Linked DNA regions of Coturnix japonica. The protein of the gene in region 1 interacts with the protein of each later gene in a pairwise test. Links are inferred from orthologs where the notes say so. Each region holds a gene or a part of one and is shown on either strand. Other genes may lie near its edges. The genes, in order: MAPK14 and DUSP1.

Region 1 (15,454 bases):
ACTGGCTCTGAGCATCTTCACATCTGCAAGATTTTAAACCACACCCAGATAAAAATCCCACAGACAGCAGTATGATGAACTGACAGTAAACACTTCTATATACAAAAAAATTCTAACAATATAATCTTATCTCCTACTCTCAAAGCTACACATGCACTTCACGACACTATTCAAAAGTATTAATGAACACCAGACACAGAGCTGCTGTAGCACCAGGCTAATTCCCACTGTGGAACCATAGAATCATAGAAATCTAACCCAATTAGCTCAGACAGAATGGATCAATGTGCTGATGCAGAGATACATCTAAACACATTCTCCAAACAGTTCCAGAGCAAAGCTTTGAATATATTTCTGGTATGAGAAAAGGTAGAGAAAAAAAAAAACCTCAGGGGGATGGATATTAAGCAGGATCGATGGATGGCTGCCTCTGTTACTCAGATAACAGCATCACATAGAGGCACTGAGGAAGTACTGCTGAGTTCAGGCTGCGCGTGCACCAAAAGGTCCAATTACATCAGCCACACTGTCAACACAAACAAGATTCAAGCAATACCATCTGCTTGCTGTGGCAGAAAGAAGCCACGGCACAAAACCACCACTGCCACAAAAGAAGTTCTGATCCGACCATTCAGGGAGAAGCTCCCATCAAAATTGGGCTTGCTTGTTGCGTTAAAAACACTAGGCTTGCTCAGTCCACTTCTAAATCAGTATTTCCCTTCTGCTACATTGGAGTTCACTTGTACAAAAATTAAGAGCCTTCCTTTTCTCTTGATGTTGACAGCTCTAAAGAAGGCAAGATAATTTTTGCTCAATTGCAGGCAATATTTTCTCTGAACAGCATGCGATATAAATATACCAGTGTGTTAATGCCACAAACACAAAGAACTGCTCAAGTGGTTTCCACAGCAAATGGAAGTTAAACAGAAAAAAATGATTAGACAGCATATAGCATAGCTTAGTATAAGCATTCATGGTCTGTGTTGTTGAAATGGATGGCTTACAAGAACAGATGTCTGATATCTTCCCCTCCCCTTTTTTATTCCTGTTCATCTACAGGAATCTAGTGAACAACTGCTCCAACCCTTTCTGACATGATGACACAAAGCAAGAAAGAAAGCCTTCCATCACGATTCACTGTCTACTGCAAGCTATGTACTTACTATCTGAAAAACCTGTGCAATCAGCCTGGAATGCAATCACACCAGGTAGCCCAGCTTCTCATATAATCTCCTTCTACTTACATTTTCATGTTTCATGTGCTTCAGTAGCCGTAGCTCTCGGTAGGTCCTTTTGGCATGGATGATAGACTGAAATGGTCGGGACAGCTTCTTTACAGCCACTCGCAACCCAGTTTTTGTGTCAAAGGCAGAACTACAACAAAGAGTAATCAAATAGTCAAAATGAATCACTTATAAACACCCTCAAATCCATTTAGCAACTACAAATAGAGGCTGCGCAGGCACTGAGTCACACAGCCGATTCCATTTCTCCCTCTCCACCACCAATAACATCCAGGCTTCCTGGCCTGCAACCTGGCTGCAAATTCCCACACACAGATATAAATGCTGGGTTTTACTGATAGCGTTTCTAAGATGAATGTTGTTCACCTACTTAGGGGAAAATAGTATCTTCAAAAAGTAATTTTGCAGAAAGAAAAGTTAAAAATGATTATGATTCTTCTGCCTAGAACACAGTTACCATTTCAAATGTAAACAAGGCAATGAAACTCTGGAGAGAGGAAGAATACTTGTAAATGCTACTCGTATTCTTAAACCTATTTGCAAAAGTACACTTCATTACAACATTATCTGCTGTGCTCGAGATGCCATCTTTCATGGCTTTAAGCCCATACAAAAATCCATGCCTGCTGCTAGGAACAGTCACTGATGATGGGCGTTCATCTCACCTGAAGGTGAAATCAAACCTCACAGGCATATCACACCCAATCCTGAGTGCTTGCTACAAAAAAACACAGATGCACAAGTGAAACTTCACTGCACATTACTAAACTTTTCAGAAACATTAAAATAGTAACCCTTATAACACATAAAACCTAATGCCAATGATGTGATAACTTGTTATGCCTCCACGTAATTGCTTTGTACTCCAACGTCTGACAAAATTCAGAAGTAAAGCCCAATACTTGTGAAACAATGAAAGCTTTAAGCACTAGAAGAAAGCTGACAATCCTGATTTGCTGCACAGAACCTTCCAGAGCTCAGGGCTGCGTATTTAGAGACCTAAGTAAAAGCAGGCACTTAGCTGGCAATCAAACTGCTCTTCTTGTCTTCAATGCTGTTATCTGAAACTAGCTCTGGTTTGTCAAAAAGGAAGGAGGAGCAGAAAGAGGATGTGAAATTGAGGTTATGTTGATCCAAGATCACAAACGTGGGGAAAGGGTAGAAGTGAGAAAGTTGGAGAAGAACAACATCTGTTGAGTCTCCTGCAGCCCGACACAGGGCAGGCTCCCAATGCACAGCGCCTTTGATCAGCAGGGAGGGACAAGGAAAGCTTACAAGGAAAGGAAATCTACAAGCACAAAATGCAAAGCAGTTCAGCTAGCAAGCCCAAAACCAATCACAAAAGCAGTTCTAGAACAAACTCACAATTGCACAGACAAAAAAAAAAAAAAAAAAAAAAGCTAACTGAAAAGAAATTAATATCAATTCACTTGCAGAAATACAACTTATCTCAAAGTTGCAGTTTCCAAGGAACTTGTTGTATTCTCATTACAAGAACTAAGGATAGAAAATGAAACACAAATTTGCTTCTACCAACAGCAACCCCTCCCTAAAATCCTGCAAGGGAATGGGAAAACCTCCACGTGGGACAGAAAAGGGCATCTCCTTCTGTGTAAGAGATACCTGTACACACCGCACAAGGAATTTTTGGGAAGAGATATGAAGATGGAGCTAGAAGGAAGATCACAGGAGCACCAAATTGCCATAGCTGAATTACTGGAGCTGCTCCATATCGTCTACAAGAATGCCCATTAGTAATCACCTCACCCAGCCTGCACATATGGAAAATACAATTACATGCTCATCTTCTAATCTTGCTTTCAAATGATCTACATTAAGTTTCCACAAATCAGTACAAATGAGTACTTCAGATACTACAGCTTGAGAATACAGAACACTGTTTTTTTTAGATAAAGTTCCACATACACTGCTTTGCAATATGCAGTTGTATCTAATTCACACCAACTGGATGACAATACTCAAGGTGTTTTCTGGGTTCAGCACAAAAGTAAGGTCAGCCACCTTCATTCAGTCCAGGCTGTTGTGAATTAGTCACGAATCTCAACCAGCTGCCAAGTGCCTCAGGTGCAAAAGGCAACGTGCTCCATCCTTTTTTCATCTCGCAAAGAAGGGATCTCCTGCTCATCCCCACAGCTACCACCTCTACAGCCAAATTTCCCTCCCAATTTCCACCTTATTCTTTTTAGAGAATATTTCAGAACCACCAGTTGTAATGCCAACTCTTGAGAGACCAAGGGAAATTTTGTTTCATCTGATTTTCCAAGGACATAAGGACTTGTTATGGGGATCATAACAAGTTACTGGTCTGCTGCAGAAGATTTCTAATCTGCAAGAAGAACTGCAGCCAGCAGAGCTGAAAACTATTCAGCCAGCACAGTGACACTGTACACAAGCTCAGGAGAGAAAATATCACATTGGTGCACATTCACAATCTAGAGTTACTCTTCAAGTCAAAAGAATTCTATGCTTGGTCATATTTGAGGCCTAAAACCCGCTTCCCTACAGATCCAGGCATGGTTTTAACAAGTACAGAACACAGAGCTATGCAACAGCTGTCAGCTGGGAAAGCACTTTACAAAACCCGAAGCTGCTTTTCATCACAGCTGCACCACGCTTTTAAAACAGCTGCATTACACCCATTGTACTTCAGCTACAAAAGACCAACTGGGAAAAAACTGCAAGATCCACAAATCCAAATCTCTTCTAAAACAAGATCAACATGAATCCAAAATCACATCTTCCATGTTTTATAACTCATTACACAGCACATGAACAGCCCCTAAATGACCTACAACTGCAACCCTGAGTTAACCTGAGCAAATCCAGAGAATAAGAGACAGAATAAGAATTAGAGAACCAGCGATTCAGTTTATATCTTAGATATAACATTTGCAATAGTCTGAGAACTGTAAGTACACGCAAAATTACTTAAGAATCCAAGGTACCAAGATGTTCGATAACCAGAATAATCATTTCAGCGTGAAGGTTATTTTGTTAAGCAGCATGCTGCTCACGGCTAGTGTCAGTGTAAAGATGTGCTCACAGAACCATTTCAGTGGTACCCCTGGAGTTCATTCATGCATCCCCATTACAGACAGAAAAGCACAGTTCTTCACACCTGTTAGTTTATCAGTAAAACCAGAGACTTCTGAGATGACTCTGCACATGTATTTCTGTAATTCACCCTCAACTTCAAATGATATGAAGTTATAAATCCCCCTCTGCTGTTTTAGATTCTCCTTCCATAAATTTTGCAATACAAAACTCCCTGTAGGAAACACAAGCTCACCCTCATTTCATTTCTTAACACACCAAGTTTCCAGCAGCCTTCCCTTCCAAGCTTTGCTTCCTGCTTTTCTATGCATGCCCGCTGCTGGCTGACCTTCCTTCCTTTCCCATGTTCTGACACCTGTGTGGCTGCTCCCTCCCACTCACAATGCGGCAATTCTTTTTGCACACCTGGCTGGAGAAGCTGGTACCCCTCCTGTGCACAGAGGCATTGCACATCTTAATAATTGATTACTAAGCCTAAGGACACACACTGGACAAAAACAGGTACACAGAGGAACTGCTGCCAAAAAGGTGATATTTAGGTTTATTTCAATGCCTCGTGGTTGATGGTTTAAGATGTCTGAAACCCATTGCATTCTTCTGTCAGCTTTTAAGCAGGGGAATCACCTCAGTAGCTTCATCACACCCAGGACATTCAGTCAGTGTTGGTACAACTATGGAGGGGAGGAGCAGATCCCTCAGTTTTCTAACAACTCTGTAGCCTGACAGCCTGCAAACAGGAGAAGCTGAAGGACCCTTATGCAAGATTACGTAAGACTTAGCAGTTTCCTCTCCAAAAGAAACAGCAGAGTCTGCAAAGCTAAAACGTTATTGTACAGAAATAACTGTTGGGGAAACAAATTAAAAAATAAAATAAAAATAAAAATCAATAAAATAAACTGCTTGGAGCACACCAAATTTGCCTTCACATTTTATAAGCTAATTGCAACAAGCATCAGAGCACCCATTTGCTTACAAAGGGTGAACTAATGCTGCCTGCAGACACCAGCAGCTGCCAACCCCCTGCTGAACCACAACTCACTGCTCACCCATCCCAGGCAGCCCAGCAGCTCCCACTGCAAGATGCTGCACCAACCCCTCTCTCACACACAGTATGCAGGACTGACATTTCAGTAACCCGCATGTTTTAGTGCAGACCTTGTTACTGATTTAGACAGAATTCTTGTAATGCAGAAGACTTAGATGAATACGCAAAACTCCGGCAAGAAGGCATTATCACTTCACACAACAGATGTCACTGCAATTGTTAACATGGCTTAGTGATGAATGATCTGAGAGTCCATATAGACATTTCTCGGCATTTTAGCACCAAAGCCCTACTTTAATTTCCACATATTTTCAGTTAAAAAAAAACAAAACAAAAAAACTGAAAAATACCTGAGCTGGCTGTTTGAACATCCTCACCGTGCACCAGAAGACACAAGAACACTTACTCCAACACTAAGGACACGCTCTGGCTGCCTGCATAGAACAACATTCTCCATCCACTGACTGCAAAAACTTCAGTCAGGACTTTCTACCACGGTGCTCCAAGTTGAGATGGACATTTAAAGCAGACTGCAGCAGACACTGCACAGTCTAATTGATTCATTTGCAGGCTTAATTCTTTTGTTAATTTTTCCTCCACTTTCTAGAAAGTCCCCCTTTTTATATCTCTCATCTGGACACCTAAATAAAGTGTATCATTATGTTCTAATCTAACAGTGCTGTAGACATACAGGAGTGTATTTATGCACTCTGTTTAAGGCTGATTAAAGCCCTGCAGTTCGCTGTCCCAAAACAGAGGGCACTTCAAACTCCAAGTCTGAAACAAAGACAGGAACATCTTCCCAGAGCAGGAGAAGGAAGAGGGAAGAATCTCTCTAAAGGAAAAGAGTGGAACAAGCCATGCTAGGAATGCCCTCAATGCCACACATCACTGTCTGGAGCTTTACATTACGAAGTTAATTATACATGCACACTATTACTTGTCTGTCTGAGCAGTACTTCTTCAGAAAGATGTTTTTGGTAGGACACAAAGAAAACCCTGAAAAAAGCTATGCTAAGATGCACATGCCGTACATCTGAAATTGCTTCCAAAGCAGAGCTGATCCATCCAGGCCGAACACAGTTGCACAATCTTTGAAAGTTCGGAGGCAGCATTACAGGAAATTCATGATGCAAAGTCTTCAGTAATTGGTTGTGAAAACAAACATTGGAAGCATTAAGTACACAACAGACCATGGGTAGGTGGAGAACAGAAGAGGAACGGGCTGCATGCACTGCATAAGGCCGGCCTGAATACAGCAGATATGGAGTAAATCCACTTCCTATTGCACCGAGGGAGTTATGTAACCACAGCAGCTAAAGGGGCATTTATCAGCTGGGGCACTGAGCCCTTTCTTTCACCAGAACTAAACCCTTTAATTATTAAAAAACTGACTAAATCAGAAGATATACTGGCTACCCGTGGTACTGTAACTGGTTAGGCTCTGTCTTCTATGACATACAAGCATTTACATACTTGGGACACGGCAGTTTTAAGAAACGTGTTATTTCAGCAGAGGTTCCTGACAGCAGAACAGGAGAGAACTTGACTTCTTTAAAACTGCAGCACACACAAAGCAACTCCTTTTTCTGATAGAGGTCAGCATGCATTGCTCCTTAAAATATAAATGACAGTCATGGTATAAACTTGTACATTATGTTAACGAAAAAAATAGGCACGCCTGCTCCGAGACAGAAGCAGAACAGATGTACAGTTGTTACACACCCGTATGAGAACTCGGATCACACTGACAGAGCAAAAAACATCGTTTAGCAGCCTATGCTGCTATATAAACCTCTAAGCGACTGCTCAAGTCGGAACGTCAATCCAGACACAACCTCATCTTTACGATTAAGCGATGTCATCAGCCCCACTGATTTACATTTCACGATCCAATACATTTTTGCAGAGAAATCCCAAGCGGTGCACGCGATGCAACGAGGCAAGCATTAAAAACCGAGCACAGCTCCGAGCTCTCCTTATTCCCGCACGCTGACCCCAGGCTTTGCTCCTGCAGGCAGCGCACGCCGCGCTCACCGCACACAGCCGCTAAAATGGCTCTTGCAGCCCCTGCCAGGCGTCGGGGACGCAGCAGCTCCCTGCAGCCCCCGGCTCATAATCCATCCTCCGGGTCGAGAAGGAAACTGAGCCAGCAGAGCTCTGCGGAGCTCGGGGCCTTGCCAGCCCGCATCCTCTCCACCCCCACCTCCCAACTGCGAGAAGGCACCGCGAAATATGCCCAAATGAGATCACGCCGGGGGCTGGGACGCGATTATCTTCCCCTGCAAAAATGTCCCGGTGCCACCTGCCCTATGCTGCAATGCTCGGGGCTGCCGGCTGCGGCGGAGGGAGAACGGCGCGGAGCGGCGCCCGGGGCCGAGCGGTGCCCGGGGAAGAACCCGGCCCGGAGTCACCCCCAGCCGCCACTCACCAGACGGAGCCGTAGGCCCCGGACCCGACCGGGGAGAGGTTTTGGTAGCGCTCGGGCACCTCCCACACCGTCTTGTTGAGCTCCTGGCGGTAAAACTTGGGCCGCTCCTGAGACATCTCGGCTGCGGAGCCCACCCCGCCCGGCCCGGCGGGAGGGGGCGGCGGTGCCCGCGGCTGCGGCAGCACCTCCAGCTGCAGCAGCAGAGCTCCCTCCCTCCTTCCCTCCCTCCCTCCTTCCTTCCTTCCTCCTCCCCTCCCTTCTTCCTTCCTCCCTTCTCCCCGCCTCGCTCCTCCCACGCCGCCCCTTCACACCGCCCTCTCCTCACACCGACCGTTGGCCGCCGCCCCGCGCCCCCCCGCCTCACGTTGCCCGGGCCCAGCCCTCGCGCGGGGCGGTTGCTCCTTCCCCGGTCCCCTCCTCTCAGCCGCCGCCTCCCCCTCCCCGCACACACAGCTCTCCCTTTCTCTCTCCCTCCGCACGGCGAGGGGTGGGTTGCCCTGTCAGGTGAGGGAGGGATCGGCCGATAGGGAAGGCCGGGGGGAGGCACTCGGCCGCAGGTAGGACGGCAAAGACGAGGCCCCGGCCCCGTCCCGCCCCCAGCGGAGCAGCTCGGGCTGGGCCGACCCGGCCGCTCCGCCTCCCCGCTCCCCACTGCGGCCCTAGGGTTCAGTCCAGACGTTCTCGCGAGAGTTGAGGCGCCGTGGGCAGAGATGCCCCAATATGGAGGCAATGCGGAGCGGCGCGGAGGGGCTCTCGCGAGAACGGGCCGAGGCGAGAGGCGGGCTCGCTGCGTTCAAGTGTTCCACGAGTGCGGTGTGTGAGGGGGTTGTGCTCACGCAGGGAGATGTCACGGCGCCACAGTCCGTGTGCCGTTTTCGCGAGGCTTTGTCTTGTCACCTTGACGCTGTACTTTAAGCAAAATATGCACATTGATGAGAACGATGACCTAAGGCAGCAGGCCTGGGCTGAACTGCCACAGCCCTCAGTAAGGCCAAGCCCCGTTCCCTCTGGGGGTCTCACAGAGCTTGGGGAGCTGAGCTGGTACAGCTGGAACTCAAGTTTCTTTTTAACTTTTTTTGTTGTGTTACCTTCACTTGAAAAAAGGTGATTTTGCTCAAACAGCAGCTTGTACTGGGTGTGCAGAGCTCATGAACAAAACGTCTCTTAAACTCTGGAAGGCCTTTGTGTATCTCCTTTTTAAAAAGAGGAACAAACCATTCACTAGGAATCGAACGTGCCTGCGGGCTGCCTGCTGCTGTTAGAATGACTGGGCTGTGTGTGCTGGTGGCTGTGCCTGGAGGCTGCCAGGCTCCTCTATTAGAAGTGGTGTATCTCAGTGATGTGAAACGCCAGACTTGTACAAAGGGATCCCAACCATTCAGGAAACATATTTATTTATTTCCCTCCAGGTTTTGTTACTTATACTGCGTTTTGATGACTTTCTGCTCACTTACTGCCTTTTCATGCTTCTCATTTTCCTTTTTTTCCCTCTGTCAATAGCTAAAAACTGCCTTTCTGCATGGCATGGCCTTTTTCCTATGCTGTCTCTGTACTTTCAGTTGGTAACTCTGGATTTGAGTTTTCTTTCTACCTCAGCTGTCAGTATGAGAACTTTGGATTAGATCTGCTCTTTCACTGGACTTCTTACTCAATATTCACTTTGGGAACTTACATCTTACCTAATCTGAGCAGTAGTGACTGAATTCAGATCTTCCTGATGTTAAAATGCTAAGGAATGTGAAATAAAGGTTTGGGGCATTTAAAAACCTGAATGGTGTCAGATAGCAATTTTGTACTGCAAACTGGCATTGTATGGCCTCTAGTTTAGCTGTACGATTCAATCTAAGCCTTTTTTCTTCCAGCACTGGAAACAAGGAGAGTTCAAACTGTTTCTCAGCTGTGATAGGTTTATGGAGGGATGCTGTATTTTCTTCCTTTAACACAGACATGCTTTGGGGATCCCATGATGGAGGGGATCCAGTCTGATCTTTCGATCTTTCCTACAAGATAGAATCAAGGCAAATTTCAGAAGGATGCAGTGTTCTGGCAGCCAGTTGGCTTGATCCTAACAGCAGCAGATCTTCCAAGGATGTTAGTCTTCAGAGCCTTGTCCTTGCTGTAGCTGTTGGCTTCACAGGAGTTATGTTGGGATGGACAGATGTCATGTGCTTTTTATTGGTTTTGGTTTTAATAGGTATTTCAGACACCTTGTCTATTTCTTCCAGTCTCACTGCCAAGAATGAGAGGTTTAATTGTTGTCTCCAGTATTTGATATTCCTCATCAAAAAGAAAATATGGAACTGGAAAATGATACAGCTAGTACCAGGAAGCAACCAGCAGTTTACAGAGTCCAAAGAAGAGTGCAAACTGAAGGGCACTTACAGGAACTCTTGGAAAGAGACCTACTTTCTACCAATGGTGGAGAGCCACAAATCCCTGAAAAGAAGACACAGCTACGTTGCAGGTGAGTTATGTGCTAGGAGTTTGACAGGTGTAAAAAAAAAACTGAGGAGGCTCTTCAAGCCCAAATGTGGGAAGATGCTAATGTCTTCCTGCAGCTTGTAATTAACATGCTGAATTTTGTTGATTGATAACTGAAGCAGAACAGCCCATTGGAGAAATGGTGAAGTGTGCAAGAACAGCACTCCACTCCCCCCTAGTTTAGCAATCTGTAGGAGTGTTCACTTCAGGTCTATGATAGCGTGAGGGATATATACATTGTAAGGAGAAGCTGTTAATATTTGCAGTCCCCTCCAGTGCTTCCCTCAGCCCAGCTGTCGGACACAAGCTTTCACTTGCATTTTTTCTGAATTCTGCCTTTTGATAGTTTTGTTTCTCAAATTTCAAGAGCAGTTTTCTGTTCCTTCTCAGCTGGGGACGTGGAAAGTTGCATAATGGTATGACTAAGATTGGCTGAACTGCTTGTGGATTATTTTGGAGCTATGTTTCTGAATTCTTTGAAGAGAATGGGTGATGCAAATGTTACTGCCTATACAGTGTTAATGTTTCCACAGCCTGATTTTTCCATCTGCCAAAATTCCCAAAATTCTCTTTTGGGCATTATCCTCGGGACAGAAGCGTATCTTCTGCCAGAGGAGCCCTGCAGGCTCAGTAGAAGGCAGTCTTTGTTGACAACTTAGGAGAATTCCTGGTGTTCTTTCAGCAAGGCAAATATAATCAAAACTAGGAAGCCCTTTCATCAGCTTTCCTTTTAGTTTTATTTGACCATGAATGCTTTTGGTTTTCTGAAAGAATCTCTTTGGATGTGGAGTGGGCTGTCAGTGGTTATAGCTGTGTCTACACTACAGAGTCCTCTTAAGAAAGTAAAAAAAAAAATATCTCTGATTCATCATTTCTCTAAGCTTTGTTTCAGCATGTATTCTGAATGTATACTGAAACTCAAACTGTTATTTTGGGGCAGTGACATGCCTTGAGACTCGAGTCTAGCTATGGGTGAGGTTCCCAAGGCGTGGTGAACTAATCTAACAGCTTGCAGCTGCCAGATGGGACAGGACACAGGAGGAAAAGCAACTCAGGAGAGCCAGACCTCCCTCTTTTGTCTAACTAGTTCTTACACCAGCTCAGCAGTGAGTGTGACTGCAGCCTAAAATCATGGATCCTGTTTTACTGGCACTGTTGTAAAGGAATTTCCTGGTAATAAGGGAAGGCAAGTGGAGCTAGAGTTTGAGTTACTACTGTGCTTTATAGTTTTTCATTTCACCTTGAAGACTCATTGTTGATTAATTTCTGCAATTGTGAGATCCTTTGGACTGTGCAGTAGGTATTTTTCTTTCTAGTGCTAAAAGGAGATTGGAGTCAGAGGAACAAAATTACTTAACAGAAAGGCTTGAATTGTGCATAATGATGATATGTGATCTAGAATTAAGACTGCCACTCACAGATTCCCTGTGCAATAAAATAGGTCTTATGCAGAGGTCAAAGGGAGAATTCTGCTTTAAAAAAGGGAGAATTCTGCTTTAAAGTCATGGCTAATATTATTGGAATCTTTATCACTACACTTGCTGCTTAATCAGAAAATATGCCCTCCCTTAATTCCCATTTTAGACTTGTATCTTTCTTGTTTCCTCATACTCCTTTCTCTATTTCTTTTCCACTTCCCTATCTCATGTATTTTCTCTGTTCTCTATTTTGTATCCACTGGTCATCCTGGCACGTTCTGAAACCCAGTGTCAAACAGCGCATCCCTGGTGAGGGGCTCCCATACCCTAAAAGCCCCGAGCAGCACAGAGATCTCATCATTGAATTGAGGTCAAATTCCCTGACAGGATCCCCCCATCCTCCAAAACCACCCTGGAGCAGATCCTGCCTGTCTAGCAGCCAATGGGATGGACCTTTGGGGGGGTTTGATTGTCAATAAAATGATGGAAAGGGACTGGTCTCTGTAATGCTAATCGGGGCTCCTCAGCCACTGTTTAGGGTTGCCAGAAGAATCTGGCAGGTGCTGCACTGCGTATGTTTGGGTTGTAAGAAGATCACCACTATGGTCAGGGGATTAAAACAGGGAAAGGGGAGCACAGGGCTTTAGGGCCGCTCAGAGTTTACCTGCTGGAAATACTGATTCAAAGACATATAGGCAGAAAAATCATGTAGGTCAGGTCCTGCTTGCACTTCCATGTTAAGTGTAATACAGGAAACATTTTGCTTTTTTGGAGATGGAATAGGCTTGTTTTTATTTTATTTTTTACCCTCCAGATGTAGCACCTGTATGTTTTTCTTCTAGATTAGGATAGGAGGTATCAAAATACTGTCTCCCGATTTTCTGCAGTGTGTTAATGAGGTCAAGTAATTGATGCATTCAGTGCTCTGTGCTCTGCTGCTGACGGGGTATCATATGAATGGCACACAAAGTATTTGCTATTCATCTGAAAGGAATGCAAAGGCACAGGGCTGCCTGTATGGGACTCATGTTATGCACCAGCTGGATCTGCAGAAGGCAATGTGGGTTCAGAGTATATGGTGCTTGCAGAGATCTGAGAGTAGCAGTGTGGCTTCTATTCCTGCAGAGTATGAGGTCATGCAAAAGGGCTGCAGACGTGGTGGTCATGGAAGACTTTGCGTATAGCTCTTATCTGATTCTTTTCAGGTTCTCCTGGGAAAGTTTCAAAAAGATCATATACAAGAGGTTCCCTGTCCTGAATTGGCTTTTTTCCTATCAGTTCAGAGAATGGATCTTGAAGGACCTCCATGCAGGCCTAAATGTTGGGTTGGTTCAGGTTCCTCAAGGTAGGAGGAGAGAAAAGAAAAAACATTCCTGCTTCCTTTTGTACATCATCCTTTTCATAATGTGTGTGTTATCCTGTTCCTTCAGGTGTCATTGGATTATGCGGGAACTTGTGAGTTAAAGTTCCTTAAATCATTAACTTATTAATTTCCATACTTGCAAGAAAACATATTCTATAATCAAATGTTATATGGTGTAATTTTGAGGACAAGACACTGCCTTTTTTCATAAAGTTTCATAAAGTAATATAAGCATATAAATATAGACTAACAGCAGCGTTCTCCTGTGTTGCAAAAAAAAAATAGCGATCTTTAAAATGCACCTTGCAAAATCTGTCAGTTTTTTGCTTTCTAGGGCTGTTAGGAATTTGGCTGTCCGGGTTACCTCTGCCAGCAATCAATGGCTTCCTTTCTGCATTCTGCTGCTCAATGCTGTATGTTGTATTTGGAAGTTCACATCACATCTCAATTGGTAAGGTTTTGTGGGGGAAGATGTAACTGTGAGTGAGTCACCAAAGAGTTTATCAGACTCTTTGATAGACCCTGTTACTGTGAAATCCTGGAAGACTGGAGTGTGAGACAAAGAGCAAGCAGTGTCTGTTTGCATCCAAGGGTAGACAGGAGGTTGTTTTGATATGCATTGTTAATTCTGTTACTTTTAAGAAGCCTTTCTTACTTTATCACTTGTTTAGGAGAAGATAGGACCAGTTAACTGATCAGTAGAACTGTTAAAGGAATGGGGTTTTCTTGTTTGAAGTGAGCAGTATATAAGGTGTATGTTGAACACAAGAAAGGAGAACGATTCTAATGCTACAAGAAACTAAGAGATCTCTCTAACTCGACTGAGTGCCAACAAGGTTTATTCTGTATTGCTAAATGTTTCTACAGGAGTTAGAGATTGTGTTCAGTGCTGCTTCGAAAAGCATTTCAGGTGCAAGTGTTATTTAGGGGAGAATCCAGACTTCCAGATTCAAAATTCGTTGTTCCACCTCTGCCCCTGAAGGTACGGGCTGCCACAGCTCCTTTGTCACAGACAGCAGTGCAAAGTGGGCAGCTGGCACATCACAGAAGCATCTTCTGCATAAGGGGCCAGAGCAAGCTGCTTCTTACTTGCCCTCAGACTGTGACCATGAATCAAGATTTAGCTTCTGGTTTTCCCCAGGCGTCATGCAGTTCCTTGCCATGACTGAGCTGTTGATGGCTTTATGTTCTTAATTTGTTCAGAAACTAGATTATTATGTGAGAAGGCCCTTATCATCTTCATACAAGTGGATCTATGTAGCTCTGGCCTCTCAGATAACTTGGTAGTTCTTTCTCAGATAAACCTTATTTCATGGACTTTCTGGCAGTTCACTGCAGCCCATTCATTTCTGTGCTTTACATTAAAATCTTTTTTCTCTTTTGAGCCTCTGACCAAACAAAGACTGCTTGTAAAATTGTAGGAGTCTGAAATTTTCAGATGGAACTTTAGAAGCTTTTGATGCTTATTCAGAAACAGTAAAAATAGATTATATATCTAAATGAAAATAAATCGTCTCATACTGCAGGATTGATGGTAGGGCATAGAGACGGATGTGTAGTTTTAAGATAAATCCTTGTTGCAACACCTCATGTGCTTACATTCTTTCCACTCTGTTCTATTGCTTTCAGGCTCATTCAGCATCCTAAATCTGGTGGTGAAAAATATTCTCACGTCCCTTGCTCTCAACCAAACCTCCTTTAACAGTTCACTGGTCAATTTTTCAGACCCTACACTTTTGAAAGGTTACATGGAGACCTTGACACTCGCTGCATCAATAACATTTATGACTGGCATAATTCAGGTAAAAGATGAATCTGTGTTAAATCCTTACTTATGTATCCTTATGTGTATCTTTGTACAAATGTGAGAACATGCAAGCAGTCTCATTTCTTACAAGTTCTAAGCTCAGCAAATTTGAATACATATGTTGTACAAAATAGAATGTGAAGGTCTGCCTCTTCCTCCCATGATGTCTGAAAAACATGGTGTAGGTTAGATTGATGTGTTCATGATGAATATAGCAGTGCATAAAGTAAATTACTTTTGTCTTTTATACTAACCAATTCTCCAGTGTGTAGACTCTTAAGTAGTCCTGCGTAACTGCACACACTTGATGTGAAGTGCTCCTATTTTAGTTTGGCAGCATCCTATTTAATTGTGCATAATGAATATAGCTTGTTCAAATAACTATCCGTCAAGTGTGGCAGTGAAAAGTCATGCTCTTCAAATATGGAAACAAGAAAGGCAGGTTAGGCATAGACAATTACATCACACCTCACTTCTTATTTGTTCCATACAGTTGCTGCTAGGCTGCTTCTGCCTGAAGTCTGTAACAGCATACTTGCCAAAGGCTCTCATTGATGCTTACCTCTCTGCAGCAGCATTGCTTGTCATTG
Region 2 (15,323 bases), on another chromosome or scaffold:
AGCTGCCTGGACAGACAGACAGGGTGCCAGGGGGCAGGTCCTGCCCACACAAGGCCATAAATGACCATGGTACTCTTCAACAAACCAATTGGCACCCAGCAGGGAGAGGTGGTGGGCAGCATCACGCTGCATCCCAACACTGCGTCTTCCTCCCTCCCACCCCCCGGCCATGTTCCTGCCTCTCCTGGAAGGCATCAGCTGCAGATAGCAGCCCTTGGAGCCCAAATGGAGCACCCTGACGTCAGCTGGCCCCAGAGCTTGGAAGGGAAGCTGTACACAGAGGAACAAAAGGCATTTATAAAAGGCCACCTTCCTTTGGCGCTGGTGGACAAGGAAAGGGCGAGGGAAGGTGCTGAAACCCGAGGTGTGCTCGGTGCTGTCTGCTGGCAGATATCCTGCGGCGAGGAAGAAGGGAGACAGAAGAGCAAAAGACAGGGAGTGACAGGGTGTTTTTTTCCTCCTTGCAAACAATTTTGTTCTTTTTGTTCCTCCCGGTCGGTAGGAAAGGGTGGGAACTATTGTTTGGGGCCGTGCTGCACAGCTGCCTCCTTGTGAGGTTTGGGCAGGACATCTTGGGATCCCAACCCTTGGCTGCCTCAGCAGCAGTCCCACCATCAACTGTGCCCATCCAGCTCTGAGCACCCTGTGCTGCCTGTGCCCAGAGCTCTTTGTGCACCCTCAGCGCTCTGCACACAGCAGGCCATAGGAGAAGCAGCAGACACACAGTTGTGGCTGTCTGAGCCCACTCAGCCCCCATCCCCTCACACTGTGACTATCGACTGGAAGCTCTGATCTCTTGCAACACCAGAGCAGAGCGCGGCGACGCAGGGGGAAATTCCACGTGTGCTCAGACACAGACAGAGTTTGCAACTGCTGCTGTCACAGCCGACATGCGTGTAGAACTGCTGACTTCTTGCTCTGACAGCAAGCAAGAAGAAAACATCCTCTAATGAAACATTTAAACCAGCACTCACCCAATAAAAACCGCAATCCACCAGTTCATGCCACTTGTTTATAGGCAGACCCCACAGCCTGGGCAATGGAAGGGAAGATGGGCACTCGAAACCAGTAAGAAGCAGAAATGTTCTCACCTTGTTGGTGGACATCTTATACATATAGGCTGTTTTCAGTCCTGTGTGCATACGCAATCACATAAAATAAATGGCTGACACAGTTCTAAAACATTCATCATGCAGAAGCCCCTGAAAAAAAGCCACCTACAATGATCAAGATTTCGTTGCAGAAAGCAATAAAGAAACTTCTGCTTGGTCTGCAAGTTAATCAGTTAGTTAATGAACATCTGCAGTGTATATCCTCCCTGAATTAGAGCAACCTGCCACAAGAACCACATGGTGCTTGACTCCACGGCAGGCTAATGAACCCAGAACAAGATTTACAAGAACGAGATACTGATGCAGAAACAGATTTATCAGAGGTGATCCTTCAACAAGAAGACGCTGAGAAGAAATCCCCTTTTTCCAGTATATCAAAGACCCCAAATTGTTATTACCACATTTGTTGGTGGAAGAAAAGAAGCTCAATTCAAACAAACTGAATTAATATCAGAAGTTAGAACTCTAAATCACACTGTAGTTTATTTTCTTTTTGTACAAGTGGGACTTGGTTTTGGCTCTAAGAAAGACACACACACACAACTTCTCAAGTATCCCTATTTGTAGACAAGTGGTTACTGAGTTAGACAGTGACTACATCATATCAGAGCCCTCAGGGACTTTATTTTTAAGTATGCCCTACGGTTTGGGAACCAAAAGGTACTGAAATGAGGGGGATTGGTGTCACACACAACCAGTTTTTGAGAAATGAAGCATTTTCTGTGGCACTTGGGATAGTCCCTGCATGGATTTTGGAACAAACCAGCTGTTGAAGTGGCCGGTCCCACAGACCTCAGTCATCCACCCAGAGCACACAGCAAGCCCTGAGTCAGCCAGGGAAATGCAATGGGGATGTTAACATCCATGCTCCATCCCCATCTCCACACAGTGTACACGAGCATCCCCTCTTTTGGCTCTGCTGAATGCCCTCAGCTCTTCCAACTCCAGCATTGCACAGAGGGCAGGGCTGCCCCCAGCAGGGTGATAGCAGTGGAAGGGGAGCTGGAAGTCACCTGCAGGTTGTGCCGGGTGTCTCATCGCACCCACTCATCTGCCTCCCAGCAGCACCAGGGAGGGGAAGCCCAGAGCGACTCATTTCTGCCTCGCACAGGAAACACGCAAACGTGGGACCTTGAGCACGCTGTGCAGGAAACCCCCGGCCCGGCAGCATCCTGGGCTTGGCCTCATCCAATGGACTGTGCCATGTCCTGGCTGTGCCGTGGGTGCTCATAGAGCTGGGGGCACACACCGTCCCACAGACGGGATCCTCAGCCCCACAGTAGCTGGAAACCCTGGGAACCACAATCCCAGCATGGGGAATAGCTCTCAGAATAGGAATTATTTACTCACTCCAGTGGCAGAGTAACCGTGCCCCCTCCTCCTGGGTACCAGGGCTGTCCCACAGGTATTGCCTTCAGCACTGCATGGCCTCAGCCTGAGCAAAAACAGGACAGAGAGCTGAACCAGATCCCCTGGTGCTCCCTGGCCAGGCTGACAGCCTTACAGCAATGCCACATAACTCAGCAGAGCACCAGGCCCTACCTCTCTTTCCCTCCTTTAAGACCTTGGTCCCACTTACCCCCAGTGGGTGCTAACTGTGCCCACCTGTTCTTGGCTGTGCTCTGCACAAAGCAAAGAGCACGTAGAGGGGAGGTCACACGTGTCTGCACGCAGCTCAGAGCTCAGATCGTTTGTTCTTTCAGCATCAGTGAGTTTGAGCCTGGGCTTTAACTGTTTCCCTGACCTCCCTTGAGCCTTGGATTGGAGTGGATTTGGGGAAGCCAGGATTGCACTGAGATGCAATTTCCAATTGACTCGCAGTGTCCTTTCTACTGCCCTGGAGCCAGATGGTGAAAAAGAAAAACAGGTGCTAAGCAGGTGAACTAGATTTGCCTGTGGAGATCAGGATGTAATGTTCTTCTTCAACCTAAATGCATAACATAGCCTTGTGGCCCTGCTGTTCTGACTGTAGGGTGACTAATGCAGGATAGTCCCTAAGCTTCAGCTCACCCAGCGTCTTTCACAGTGCTGATTACAACAGAAAGGCAAAAGCCCTGAGACAAGGGGATTACCCCAGCACTCTAATCTGGAGCTCTGTCTGTTTGTCATGAGATAACCGGGCACTCTGCATCCCCTACTCCTGCTTTTTACTGGGGGTGTTACGTGCTGTGTCCCTACAGGGGTCCTGTGCTACCCCTGGGTCATTGGGACCATCCATGGGTCTGTGCTGGTGGGATATGGTGTATGGGACGGCTGTGTGGGGCTGTCCTTGCTGCACTGACACTGAGGTTCTGTCTGTGCCTGCTGGCTGCTGCTTGCCTTCAGGGACAACCACCAGCTCTGGCCTGGGAGGAACAAAGCCCAGAGCCAGTTCCTGCAACTACAGAGTGTGCTTTTCTATCACTTTGTGACAAATTGGTTTGTCAGCAGCAGGAAGTGATGTTAGCACCATCCCCAATGAAGGGAAACTCCTCGTGGTTTCCATGGGGACATAAGCAACTGTATAATGACAGCTTTACATAAGCTGAAACTCTACACGCTCTTGTTGTGTGCTCAGTTCCTGGGGGGTCTTGGGATGGAGAGAAGAGCAGGAGCTCAGCTGAGTACTACCGGCATGCAGAGAGACAGGGAAATGGAAATTCCAAGCTGTAAAGACCACACAAGGTGAATAAATAAGGGAAAGAAAATGGAAAAGATCCCTCCAGCATATTCACAGGGAGTTCAGTTTAGCCACATCCATCCATCTATCTCCCCCAGTGCTATGGCACCGGTGCAGAGCTGCCACTCTCCTTCTTTTGCCTGCTGTTCCCCCCTTATCCTTCACCTGTGCCAGCCAGGAACAGTTTGGGCTCCAGCCATGGTCCCATCCACAAACAGTCTGCAGGAACTGGGGGCATCACGGTGCTGGGGGGGCAGCAGGAGGTCACTGCACAGCCCAGGAATGTTGCACTGAGGTGGGGGGCTGCACCTCCAGCTGGTACAGGGCTGTGCTTTGTGCTGCCACAGCTCTGCCCCCATCAGGTGCCTGCTTAGGTTAGAAAAGCTGATCTGCTGCCAGGTAATGAGTTTTATTGTTCCAAGAAACACATAAACAAGCTCCCCCAGCTGACGGGGAGCGGATTTCTGTTTGAACTGTGATTAACAGGCAGGACTTTTTATCAGTTGCGCTGCCAGGGCTGCCAAGGTTGTATTTTTCCACTGAACAAACCCTGCTTTGCTTTGAAGGTGAAAGCTTGTTCCACAGGTGCAGAAAGGCTCATGTTTTCAGATACAGCCTTGTGCATCTTACTGGGAGCACAGACCCATGGAGCAGCTCACCTGGCAGGTGAGGGGGAAGGAAAGAGCTTTGCAGGGTGGGAGAGACCTGGGAGGACAACATACTTTGAGGTTCTTCACACTGCAAAGATAACTTTCTTTTCTTCAGCTCCTGGTGCCTGTGGAGCATTCCTTGCTCCCCTTTGCCTGCTCTGGGTGCTCTATCCTCAGTGTCAGGCTGGAGCTTGCTGGCTGCCAGCGGCTGCTGACGACAGAGCTGCGCATGTGGCTGCGCTTTCAACACAGCAGTGCCTCACAGCAGCCCAGCCTTCAAGGGCACCTTCTCCTCTAAGAAGGCTCGTGGATTTAGCACTGTCAGTGCTCCAGGTAACGTGCAGGGTTTCAGCAGGAGCTGCGCTGAGTGCATCCTCAGTTATACGATCAGACTGCAGCTGCCTTGTGCTTAACAACCCCTACCTATAAGCTTGGACTTTGGATTGTAAATACTAAGCCGCCTTGAATTGACACAACGAATCATAACCCTCTGTTGTTTGCCTCAGCAAATCCACTTTTGATGGGGCAAGTGTAGCACCAACTCTTGAATTTCAGACATGGGAAGACTGATGCTCCCCCGGGCAGAGACAGAGCACCCAGCATCCCAGAGCTCTCCTACATGCCAACAGCTGGCACTGCCATCACCACACGCTAAGAAAGCAAGCCTCCAGCTGCCCAGCTTTCTCTGGTAAGACATGTCACAGCAGCACTGCTCTCCCCAACACGTCATACAACAACAGTATCACACCCAACCCATAGCAGCTGCCCTGCACTACTGGCTGGCACCCCACAGCTGCTGCCAGCAGCGCTCACCCAGCTTTGGTTATACTGGATACAACTCCTCACGTTGCCTCGACTTAAGCACTGGGTGAAAGTCAGCCCAGTGGGGAAGCTGTAGCAAAAGAGTTTATTCCAGTCTGGGTACAAAATTAGGTGACTGCAGGTTACCTGATCTGTTGTTATGCCCTGGTTTATTTACAGATGGTACAGTAAGCCAAATAACTCACTGTAGGGATCAGAAGGAGTTTGGGTTGCAAAAAGGAATTAAGAGGCAAGACAGAAAAAGAAAACACCCTGGCACAACCCTCATACATGCTGGAGATCAGTTGGCAACAGGCTCATTTTTAGACTTAACCTTCAAAGAAGCAATAAGGAAGCTTCTTCCTTCCCAGGAGAGGACTCCTTTAAACCCACTGCAGTCCATGCTCAGCTGGTTCCAACTCTTACAGCTCTGCAGCCACCACCACAGCCAAAGCCACCCCACAGCTGAGATCTGGCCCCAGCTGTCTGCCATGGCATGTAATTATACAAGGACAAAGGGCTCAGGCTAGAGAACAGCAGAACTTTCTAGTCAAGTGTGAGTATTTTAAAGCTCATTTTTTCCTATCTAGTTAAGACCCCACTTAATCACATTGCCTGAGGTCAAACTCCATCAGAAACTCAGACTTCTTTCCTTCGGAAGCTTCTAAAGTTAAGCTCAGGGACAGTAAAACACACAAGGTTCTGAAGTATATCCAGCTTTCACTAGAAATATCATAATTTATTCTGTTTGTATAAAAAGTTATTATAATCAAGTAACAAAACTATGTCTTCCTAAGAAGAAATATATTATTTCACATCATAAATAAATCAAACATACAACCCTTGGCAACTTAAGAAGCACTCGCCCAGTGCTTTCATGTCAGTGCTTGGAAACAAGAAGAGCCGACAGATATATACACACAGGATTACAGTACCAAAAAAAATACTGAGGTATTTGGTTTCTCTAGAAATGCAACTTCAGGTTCATGAAGGCAAAACAATGAACTAACAAAAATAAATAAATAGGACTGTCGTGAAAGGGGACAACATCAGTGTTGCTTAAAGTGTCCAGGAATGGGAATACTGGTGAGCAGGCTACTGAACATGCAGCAGGCTTAGGACAAACAGAAGACAAGGGGAACAGCTCAGGAAAACGCAGCATCCTCTGATCTCTGCGTAGGCATCCCAATATTGGCTTCAGGAGCCAGCAACACACAGAACACTGGTTGAGCTCCTCGTGTGTACAACAGCGTTCTAGGACAAGTGGATGGTTCCCCACAGGACAAGTGGCTGATGATACTGTCCCCATAGTTATTGCACTTCTGAGACAAGAATTGTGAGTTCTGGTCACGCTTCTGCCTGCCTTTCAGCAGCTTGGGGAGGTGGTGATGGGGCTCTGAAGGTAGCTTAAAGCACTGGATGAGGTGTGAACAGGGATGGAGACTGGGAAGTTGAAGACTGTGGTGGTCGATGCTCCTCTGTCCAATACTGACATAGCAGGGCTCCCAGCTTCTGCTGAGCAGTTGGGGGCAAGAACCTGCGACTCAAACTGCAGCAGCTGCCCCATGAAGCTGAAGTTTGGGGAGATGATGCTCCTTCTCTGCTTCACAAACTCAAAGGCTTCATCCAGCTTGACTCTGTTGGTCCTCATGAGATAAGCGAGGCAGATGGTCGCCGACCGGGAAATGCCAGCCTGGCAGTGCACAAATACCCTTCCTCCATCATTTTTAACAGAATCTGAAAGAATTAAAACGCCCAGTTAACAAACAAGTCCCACTGCCTCTGGAGGTGGGAAAGCAAAGGCTGCTGCTTTCCATCTCTTTGTTTCATCCCCTCCTTAGGAGCCCAATAGGTGAGCCCTGTGCTTTGGAGACAAAGAGCCTTTGTCCTGAGGGAAGCTGCAGTCTAGCTATTCTCATTCTGGGCTCCAATTCCAATTATACTAATAGCTCCTCCGGGTCACTTTAGCAGTCTTGCAAGATTACTTTAATACTGATCCACTTAAATTCACTAGCACTTTTCTAGAGGATACCATTTCTCTTGGCTCGAGGTTTCTAATGGTTTGGCAAAGCTGAGATTATCCCTCTCTCAGCCCAGAGAAAGTGATGGGCGCATCCCCTAAGAACACCTAAAACAAAGGTTCCCCGATCCCAAACGCAGGCAGCGCTGGGGAGCACAATGCCCTAAAAGCCACTCCCGAAGGGACGTCATCCGAGACAAAAGGATCGCAGGGAAAGCTCATTTACCTATGAAATCAATCGCCTCGTTAAACCAGGAGCTTATGTCGGCTTTGTGGTTGTCTTCCACAGGGATGCACTTGTACTGGTAGTGCCCCTCGAAGTGGTTGGGGCAGTTGGCCGACACGTTGATTAGCGCCGTGATGCCCAGCGCGTCCAGCATGTCCTTACGGGAGGCGTGATACGCGCTGCCCAGGTACAGAAACGGCAGGATCTCCACCGGCCCGCCCTGAAACAAAAGGGGCAGATGCCCGGTTAACATCGCTCGGCGGATTTACGATTCCCGTCCTTTCTCCCACGAGCGGCGGGGCAGCCCCAGCCCGGATCCCGCACTCACCTGGTCGTACAATGGGGTTCCGCAGGAGCTGCACCCCGAGTCGGCGCTGCCGGGCGCGCTGCTGGCGCTCAGGGGCAGACTGAGCCCGGTAGGGGCGGCGGGTTTGGTGCACAGCTCGGAGCAGGCGGCCGAGAACGCTTCGTATCCTCCTGCGGGGCACAGGGGAGAGAGGCGCGGGGTGAGCGCGGCGTGGAGCGGGGCGGGCAGAGCCCTCAGCCGGCGATACGGCCAACCCCATCCCGCAGCGGCTTTTGGGGCCGCGCACTCACCCTTAAGGAAGCAGATGCGGGCACCGCGGGTCTCCCTGCACAGCGTGCCGAGGGCCAGCAGCAGCGTGCTGTCGCGCTTGGGCAGCTCCAGGTCGGCGCTGCGCTCGTCCAGCAGCACCACGGTGTGAACCTGCCCCTGGCGCAGCCGGGTGCGGAGCTCCTCGTTGGGTACAACGTGCTCCAGGGCCAGCACGCCCTTAGCGCGGCGACGGACGATGGTGCTGAGCCGCACGTTGCAGGAGCCGCGGATGTGAGCGGCGTTGAACGAGAAGAACGAGCGGCAGTCGAGGACGAGGCACTGAGCGGCGCGCTCCTGCAGCAGCCCCCGCAGCGCCTCGCACTCCAGCGCACACACACGTAGGTTCACCATGGTCCCGTGCTCGGTTCCGTCCGGTTCGGATGGCGGGGAAACAAAGCGCTGGAGCTCGCGGAACAGCGGGATCAGACGCGGCTGGACGCGACTCAGCGCGGCCCCGTGCGAACCCACCCGCCTTATATCGTGGCGCGCCGCGCCGCCGCCGTTTTCTCAATGGGGCCGGGTCACGTGATCCTGGGAGCAGACGTCACCTTGGAGGCGCGCCAAACAGGGCGCGCCCCGGCACCGCCGGTATGACGTCATCGGCGCGGGAGCGCGCCGGCGCGAACTGAGAGGCGCGGGGGCGCGCTGGTTTGTGTGTGTGTAAGAGTATAGACATACACACATAGATAGGGTTACATGTTACACGTGCCTGAACATACACACATATAAATACCCAAAGCTATCACATTTCTCTACATACAGGCACACACCATGGATATATATACACATACAAGTGCATAAACACACTTATACACACATATAAATACCCAAAGCTATCACATTTCTCTACATACAGGCACACACCGTGGATATATACACACACACACACACCATGGATATATATACACACACACACACCATGGATATATACATATCCGAGAACCAAACATCCACACCATGGCTATATAAATACGAAACACACACACACACACCATGGATATATATACACACACACACACGTATGTGAGTGTGTTCACATGTCCAACAGCAGCACCGTGAGTGGATGCAGGCGTGGGAGCAGTCCTACAGGTTCTCCTGCAGCACATAGAGATAAGCGCACACAGACAGGGATTGGTGTTTGTGCATAGGCATATATGCGTGTACGGACACATCTACACATCAATATATGCACATGTGTGCGTATATTTGCATGTATATGTATAATGTAAACGTATCTGAGAGCTGTTCTCATGTTTCATATGTAAGGATAATCTCGCAGTAGACCTGGGGAGGTTCATTTTCCGCACAGCAGGTTCCCCAGCAGTCAGGGCAGCCCAGTACCCGGCAGTGAAGCCATTGGAGCTCTGTTTTTCCCCCCTTGGTGTTGTCTCAGCACTTCCCAAAAGTCTGCCTTTCCCCGTGGGCGCTCAGCTTCCACCGCAGCACTCAGCTGTTTCTTGCTTTCCGCTTCCCGTCAGCGCCGCATTCACTTCCCCTGCCTCCCCAGCACTTCTCCCCTGCCCCACACGCCAGCACCATCCCTGGCTTCAGCCCTTCTCCCCCAGTCCCTTCCCAGCAATCCCTCTTCGCCTGCTCCACCTGCGTTGCTCCTTCCTCGCACCATTCAGAATCTCTAGCTTTCAGCAGCTTTCTCTCATCACTTCCTTTCAGACTTCCTTTCTTCACCCCAGATCCCCCAGCCATCCTCTCCCACCCCCCTGACAGTTCCCCATCCCCCAGCCCTGCAGCCTGTCGGTTCTCAGCCTTCTCGAATTTTCCAGTTGCTTCTCCACCAGTTTCCACCAATCTTCATCCATCCTGACCTAAAACCAGCCCGGCACCTCATCAGGTTCAGTGCTGCAGGGCTTTCCAGGCTCCCCAAGGGTGTCAGGAGGAGGAGACACAGGGAAGGATATGGGTGAATGAGCACCAGCTCTGAGCTCCTGCTTACTGCAGAGATGTCCCTGCTCTGCTGAGCAACATCGGGGTGTTACTTGCCAGAGCTGCAGTCTCAAAGCAAATGTGTTTTTTCAACGCATTCTTTAAAAATAAACACTGGATTGTGCTTTTCATTCTATTTATTTATTGTTGTTAAAAGAACAGCAGGTTGGAAACAGACTGTGGGAGAAACATCCATATGCTTTCAGTGCTGGGAAATGACTTTGCCTGACCACACAATCACTGCTTGGTTTCTGGGAGGTGGTGGCCCATTGCTGGGTGTGAGTGGTGGGACCTGAGCAGCCCGATGGGTGATACACATCCCTCCACACTATGGGGACATGGGAGGACCTGTGTGTGCCCCTGCGATGTGCTCCAAGGCAAACCTTCCCAAAGATGTGATATCTCTGTGACAGTACATGGCCAGATCACACTGATCTCTAAGATCCATCCCAGATCCAAGGAACAGAACAGTAGGAGTGTGGGCTGAAGAGGGCATTTGATACCTTAATGGTGCTGTGCCTTCTTGGTGCAAACCAGCCATGGCTCACAGATGCAGGCATCCCTGTGCTGCTGACCATGCTTTCTCTAATAGTCCAAAGCTTCTCAGCATCCCATACAGAAAAGAACACTAAAAGAATGTGATTTTTTTTCCCCCGTTTGGCAACTTTAACACTCCCATATTTAAAGCAGCTGCCATATCTGACACCTGCACAGCAAAGCTCGGTGCTATCAGTGTCAGCCACCTTCTGGTTGTGCTGCCAACCAACCTCGTCCTTACACCATACGTACTGTGGGACAGACACCCCAGGCCAGGTACCCAGGCTGCTGTTTGTCAGCACAGGAGGAGTTCATCTGTGGCCTCTGCAAAGGGGAATCTGACTCCATGAGAGTGCACAGCAGTGGCCATCACTCTTGCATGGACTTATTAAATCATGAGTCTTTTGAGTCTGCTCTTGTTTACACCCAGCACGAATCAGGAAGAAAATTCATCACGTGTGGCAGTGTGTACTCAATCACTTATAACCCTGGACTAGCTATTTCCTTGCTTTACTCTATTTTTGTTTTCTTTTCTTAAATAAACCTGCCAGAAGAATGAAGGAAAGGAAAATACAAACCAGAACCAAAGAAGCTTTCACGAGCTCAGCCAGACCTGAAGGACTTTCTTAAGGGTTTGATTTCCTGTCTTAACAAAAGCCAGGAAGCACAAAATTAACCCCTTCCTCCAAAAGAAATCCATGTTTGCTCCCAGGCCACAGTGCTATTGTGAGGGTAATAATAGCAGCAGCAGCATGAGGCTGAGCCAGGGCTGGGATGTAGGCAATGCTTTTTCTCAGCAAGTGGGACTCTCAATTGGTGTTATCCTGAGCCTCCACTATTCCCCGGGCTTCAGCAGTTCCCATAGAATCATTAAGGTCGGAAAAGACCTCAAAGATCATGAGGTACAAACACCAACCCACCCCCACTGTGCCCACTGACCACGTCCATCAGTGCCACACCTCCACAGCTCTTGAACACCTTCAGGGATGGTGACTGCACCACCTCCCTGGGCAGCTGTGCTAGTGCTGCATCGCTCCTTCAGAGAAGCTGAAGAAGTTCCCATGTTGCTCTGCCAAAATATTTACATGTCTGTAATGACACGAGAGGCCCATAGTGTGACCCTCTACTTGTGGGATTCTGCTCATCTTGGGAAGCCCCATCAGTGATTCTGAGTGCTGTCATTGTCTCAGCAGGACCTGGACCTCTCTGGCTTTGCTCCTGGACTGTGAATCTCCCGATATTTGGCTGCGAGGGGAAGGAGAGGGCTGCCCACAGCTTCTGCACCGACACAGTAGTACCAATTTGTTAGCAGCTTGGTGACAAGCACAGATAAGCCTTAACAAGGAACTGGCCCATTGCATAAACCCAGCAAAACTGGCTGGTCAGGCCTTTAACCGCTCACCCATGGCCAAAATCAGCCCCGAGCCATTCCAGAAAACACAGCATGACGGCACCGTTGGAGCTGACCGGAGCCTGCGCCTCAGTGCCCGTGGTGTGAGTTCTGCCTCAGTGGAGATGCAGAGCATCGGCCTCAGCCCTTGAGACAGAGCAGAAAAATGCATGTGGGAACACTTGGAAAGCGTGCGGGATGCATTGCTTCTGCATGTGTAACATTTTCTCCGAATTCAGTTTCACAACCCAGCATTTCCTTTTGTAAATATTTGGACAGATTTCACATGGGCTCAAACTCAGAAGAAACAGAAGGGAAAAGAAAAAGAAGACGGGAAAGATGGGACAGAGAAAGAACAGAAAGAGAGAAAGAGGAGGCAAAGAGAAGGATCAGCGATGGAAGGTCACAGCAAGCTGTGCATGAGCAGCATAGAATTACCGATGAGTCACACTACAATGAAAACAGTATTTTTAATGCATTTAAATCCCAAAATAGAACCTTTTCTTTTTGCCGGAGTTTGTTGTGCTTAAAGCGCCTTGGGTTCTGCGTGCTGAAGGATGGTGTGCTGTCATGGAGGACAAGTCCTGGATATAGATGTATGACTGAGGAATGAGAGAACACGTGGCACCTCCAGGTCTGAGAGCCAAGGGATGGAGTGCTCTGCTATGGACCAACCATCTCTGCTCTGTAGGACACCAGGCAGGAGCTCTGCTTTCTCCTCTCCCAGTGACTCACCGGAGCGCTCAGGGCGAGTTGCTGCTTAGTGCTGAGCCTTAACATGATTACAGGCATTAGGCAGCCAGGCTGGGATACCACGGGTTTGATATTCCAAATCATTAAATACCTGCTTCCAAAGGAAAATCGCTGGGAATTAGTGGTGCTGATACAGTCCTCAGCACCGGGCTCAGCTTAGTAGGGCAAGTGGTTTTTAAGCAATTTAATCTTACACTTAATTGCCTCTATTAATCTGCTATGAATCACACACCAGGCCTAAGAGTATTTATTCAATAAAATCACCGTATTTGTTAGGCTCCCATATTTCGAGATGAAAGGTATAAGGTATATAATAAAATACACTTAAGGGAAATTATTCTTCCTCCTGTCAGAGCGGGTGTTTTCTCACCAGCATTGTCTGGTGGCCAGCACTGCAAGGCAGGGCTTCCGTGGGAGGAGGGTGAATTTGAATAGAAAACAAGTGACGTACCCCGCTCTGAGAGCAGGGAGAGGCGTGCTCTGCTACCCAGAGCTGAGCCGCGGGGTTATTGCTTGCCATGTGATGTCAGTGTTTTGTGGGCGCAGTGACTGTGTATGAGCTTCCAATTCCCAGAATCATCAGCTCTCATAAAGATTGCGATAAGGGCTGCTGAGAGGCTCTGCGATTGGCAGGTGGTTCTGCTGCTCTTATCTATGGGATCTTTATGGGGAGATGGAGGCTTTGCAAGCGTGCGTGGCACACAGGCAGGTTGGGTGGATAGAGGCGGCTTGGAAGAGCTTGGGACACTCAGGGCTAAGGCTGTAGGTTTAGCTGTAGGCTCTCACAGTGTGCTCTCAGCACCAATTTTGCCTGACTAATGGCACTGAAAGGGGTCATTAGCTGAGAATCATAGAATAGAGTTGGAAGGGACCCTTAAAGGCCATCTAGTCCAACTCTCTGCAATAAACAAGGACACCAACAGCTCCATCAGGTACTCAGAGCCCCTCCAGTCTGACCTTGAGTCTCTGCAGGGACAGGGCACCCATCACCTCTGGGTAATCTGTGCTACTGCCTCACCTCCCTTGTCATAAAGAACAGTCATTCTTATAGCTAATCTAAATCCCCTTTCTTTAAGTTTGAAACCATTTCCCCTTGTCCTATCACAACAGACCCTGCTGAACACTCTGCCCTCTTCTTTCTTATGTCCCCCCTTTAGGTAATGAAAAGCTGCTCTCTGGTCTGGCTGGAGCCTTCTCTCCCCCAGCCTGTCCTGGTAGGGGATGTGCTCCATCCCTTGGATCATTACTGTGGCCCTCCTCTGGACAACAGGTCTGCATCTCTCCTGTACTGAAGACCCCACACCCGGACGCAGGGCTCCAGGTGAGGCTTCAAAAGGGCCACAGTTCTCGTGTTCTCATACAATGGAGTAACGCTGCACGGAGCCTTAAGAGTACACTATGTAAGAAGATATAAAAAATACAGAACCGTACAAAGGAAACCAGGCATGAAGAAGTGCCACTGTACATCACATTAACACGCTCCATCTGAGCCTCTCAGTATTCTATTTTCTGTGCTTTCTTAGAATGAGCTTCTAAACTGTTTATAGCCATTCTTGGTGTTTAATATGTAACTGCTAAAAAATATCCCCGTATCAGTAAATATAGAACTGCTTATTCATTTTCTGCTATGCAGTTTGTTAGAATATTTGCAATATGACACGATTCTCTCATGTGATAGAGTGAGGTGATGCTTGCGTGTAATAGCGGTTAGTGAAAACACACTATTAGTCATAGCACAGAATAACACTTGACTGTTTTGAATGTGAAAACCTTTAGGCTGTGGAAAAAAGACAAATTCTGACCCATGTGTTGTTTTCAGAAGTACATGAGAACCTATAGGGCAGAGTGAGTCATGGAGCAGTGTCCCAAGTGCCACTCCAGCTGGGCCAGGCTGCGATGCCCGGGAGGGACTCACACAGACACACTTCTTAGGGAGAGATACAAGGGTGAAAAGAAACAAAATCAGAAAGCCCCCACTGGGTTTCAGAGCTGTGCTGAGATGTGCGTTATTGAGGTGCATTGAGTGGAAAGCAGGGATGAAAATTCAGGTGTTTTCCAGAGCCCTACCATAAAGATTTCCTCGTGTTCTTATGCACTCCTGCTGTGAGCAGTCAGCCCTCTCCTGCAGCCAGATGAACCATGATCAGCTCTCGGCCTGAGACACAGCTCTAACGGGCTTGCTGGGAAACCTTAGGGCTGAGTAACTAAATAGAATAAGGAGCTTCTTTAAAGCAAGCTATGCTGGAGTTACCTCTGACACAATCCCTCGCTTGAATACACTGATTGAAAGCACATGAGATGTGGGTCAGGGGCTGAACTCACAGAGTGGGCTCTGATGGATTTCATGATTCAAAGTCCTCTCCTCTTTCTCCTCTCTGTTGGATCAGTTCACACTCTGGGTCCCCCAGTGGAGTGGGTGACATCGATCCTCCACACTCCTTTTTGTTAAAAAAGGGGAACAAGAAGTGAAATTAGCTGCAAGAATCAGGCGCATTCTCAGCTGGTAAATACAAGAGGAGCATGAATCATCATATAGAAATGACGAGAAGGGATGGAAAAGGTAGTGGTTTGGGAGAAGAAAGTTGTGCTCTACACGGCTGATTCAGCTCGCCGGACCA

What was found.
Region 2: the proteins of MAPK14 (region 1) and DUSP1 interact in binary tests that used the Homo sapiens proteins (3 or more experiments, as listed by UniProt). The link is inferred for Coturnix japonica from reciprocal best matches to the Homo sapiens genes MAPK14 and DUSP1.

The regions. Positions count from the first base shown.
Region 1 is NC_029541.1:514,371-529,824, reverse strand, and holds the start of MAPK14 (mitogen-activated protein kinase 14), read right to left. Parts: upstream 8,041-15,454; 5' UTR 7,912-8,040; coding exon 7,796-7,911; intron 1,375-7,795; coding exon 1,245-1,374; intron 1-1,244. Other genes in the region: SLC26A8 (testis anion transporter 1), read left to right, coding at 10,090-10,259, 12,900-13,039, 13,392-13,508, 14,687-14,859, 15,358-15,454. UniProt on the Homo sapiens protein: Serine/threonine kinase which acts as an essential component of the MAP kinase signal transduction pathway.
Region 2 is NC_029528.1:10,944,732-10,960,054, forward strand, and holds DUSP1 (dual specificity protein phosphatase 1), read right to left. Parts: upstream 8,577-15,323; 5' UTR 8,436-8,576; coding exon 8,066-8,435; intron 7,946-8,065; coding exon 7,797-7,945; intron 7,689-7,796; coding exon 7,469-7,688; intron 6,960-7,468; coding exon 6,589-6,959; 3' UTR 5,923-6,588; downstream 1-5,922. UniProt on the Homo sapiens protein: Dual specificity phosphatase that dephosphorylates MAP kinase MAPK1/ERK2 on both 'Thr-183' and 'Tyr-185', regulating its activity during the meiotic cell cycle.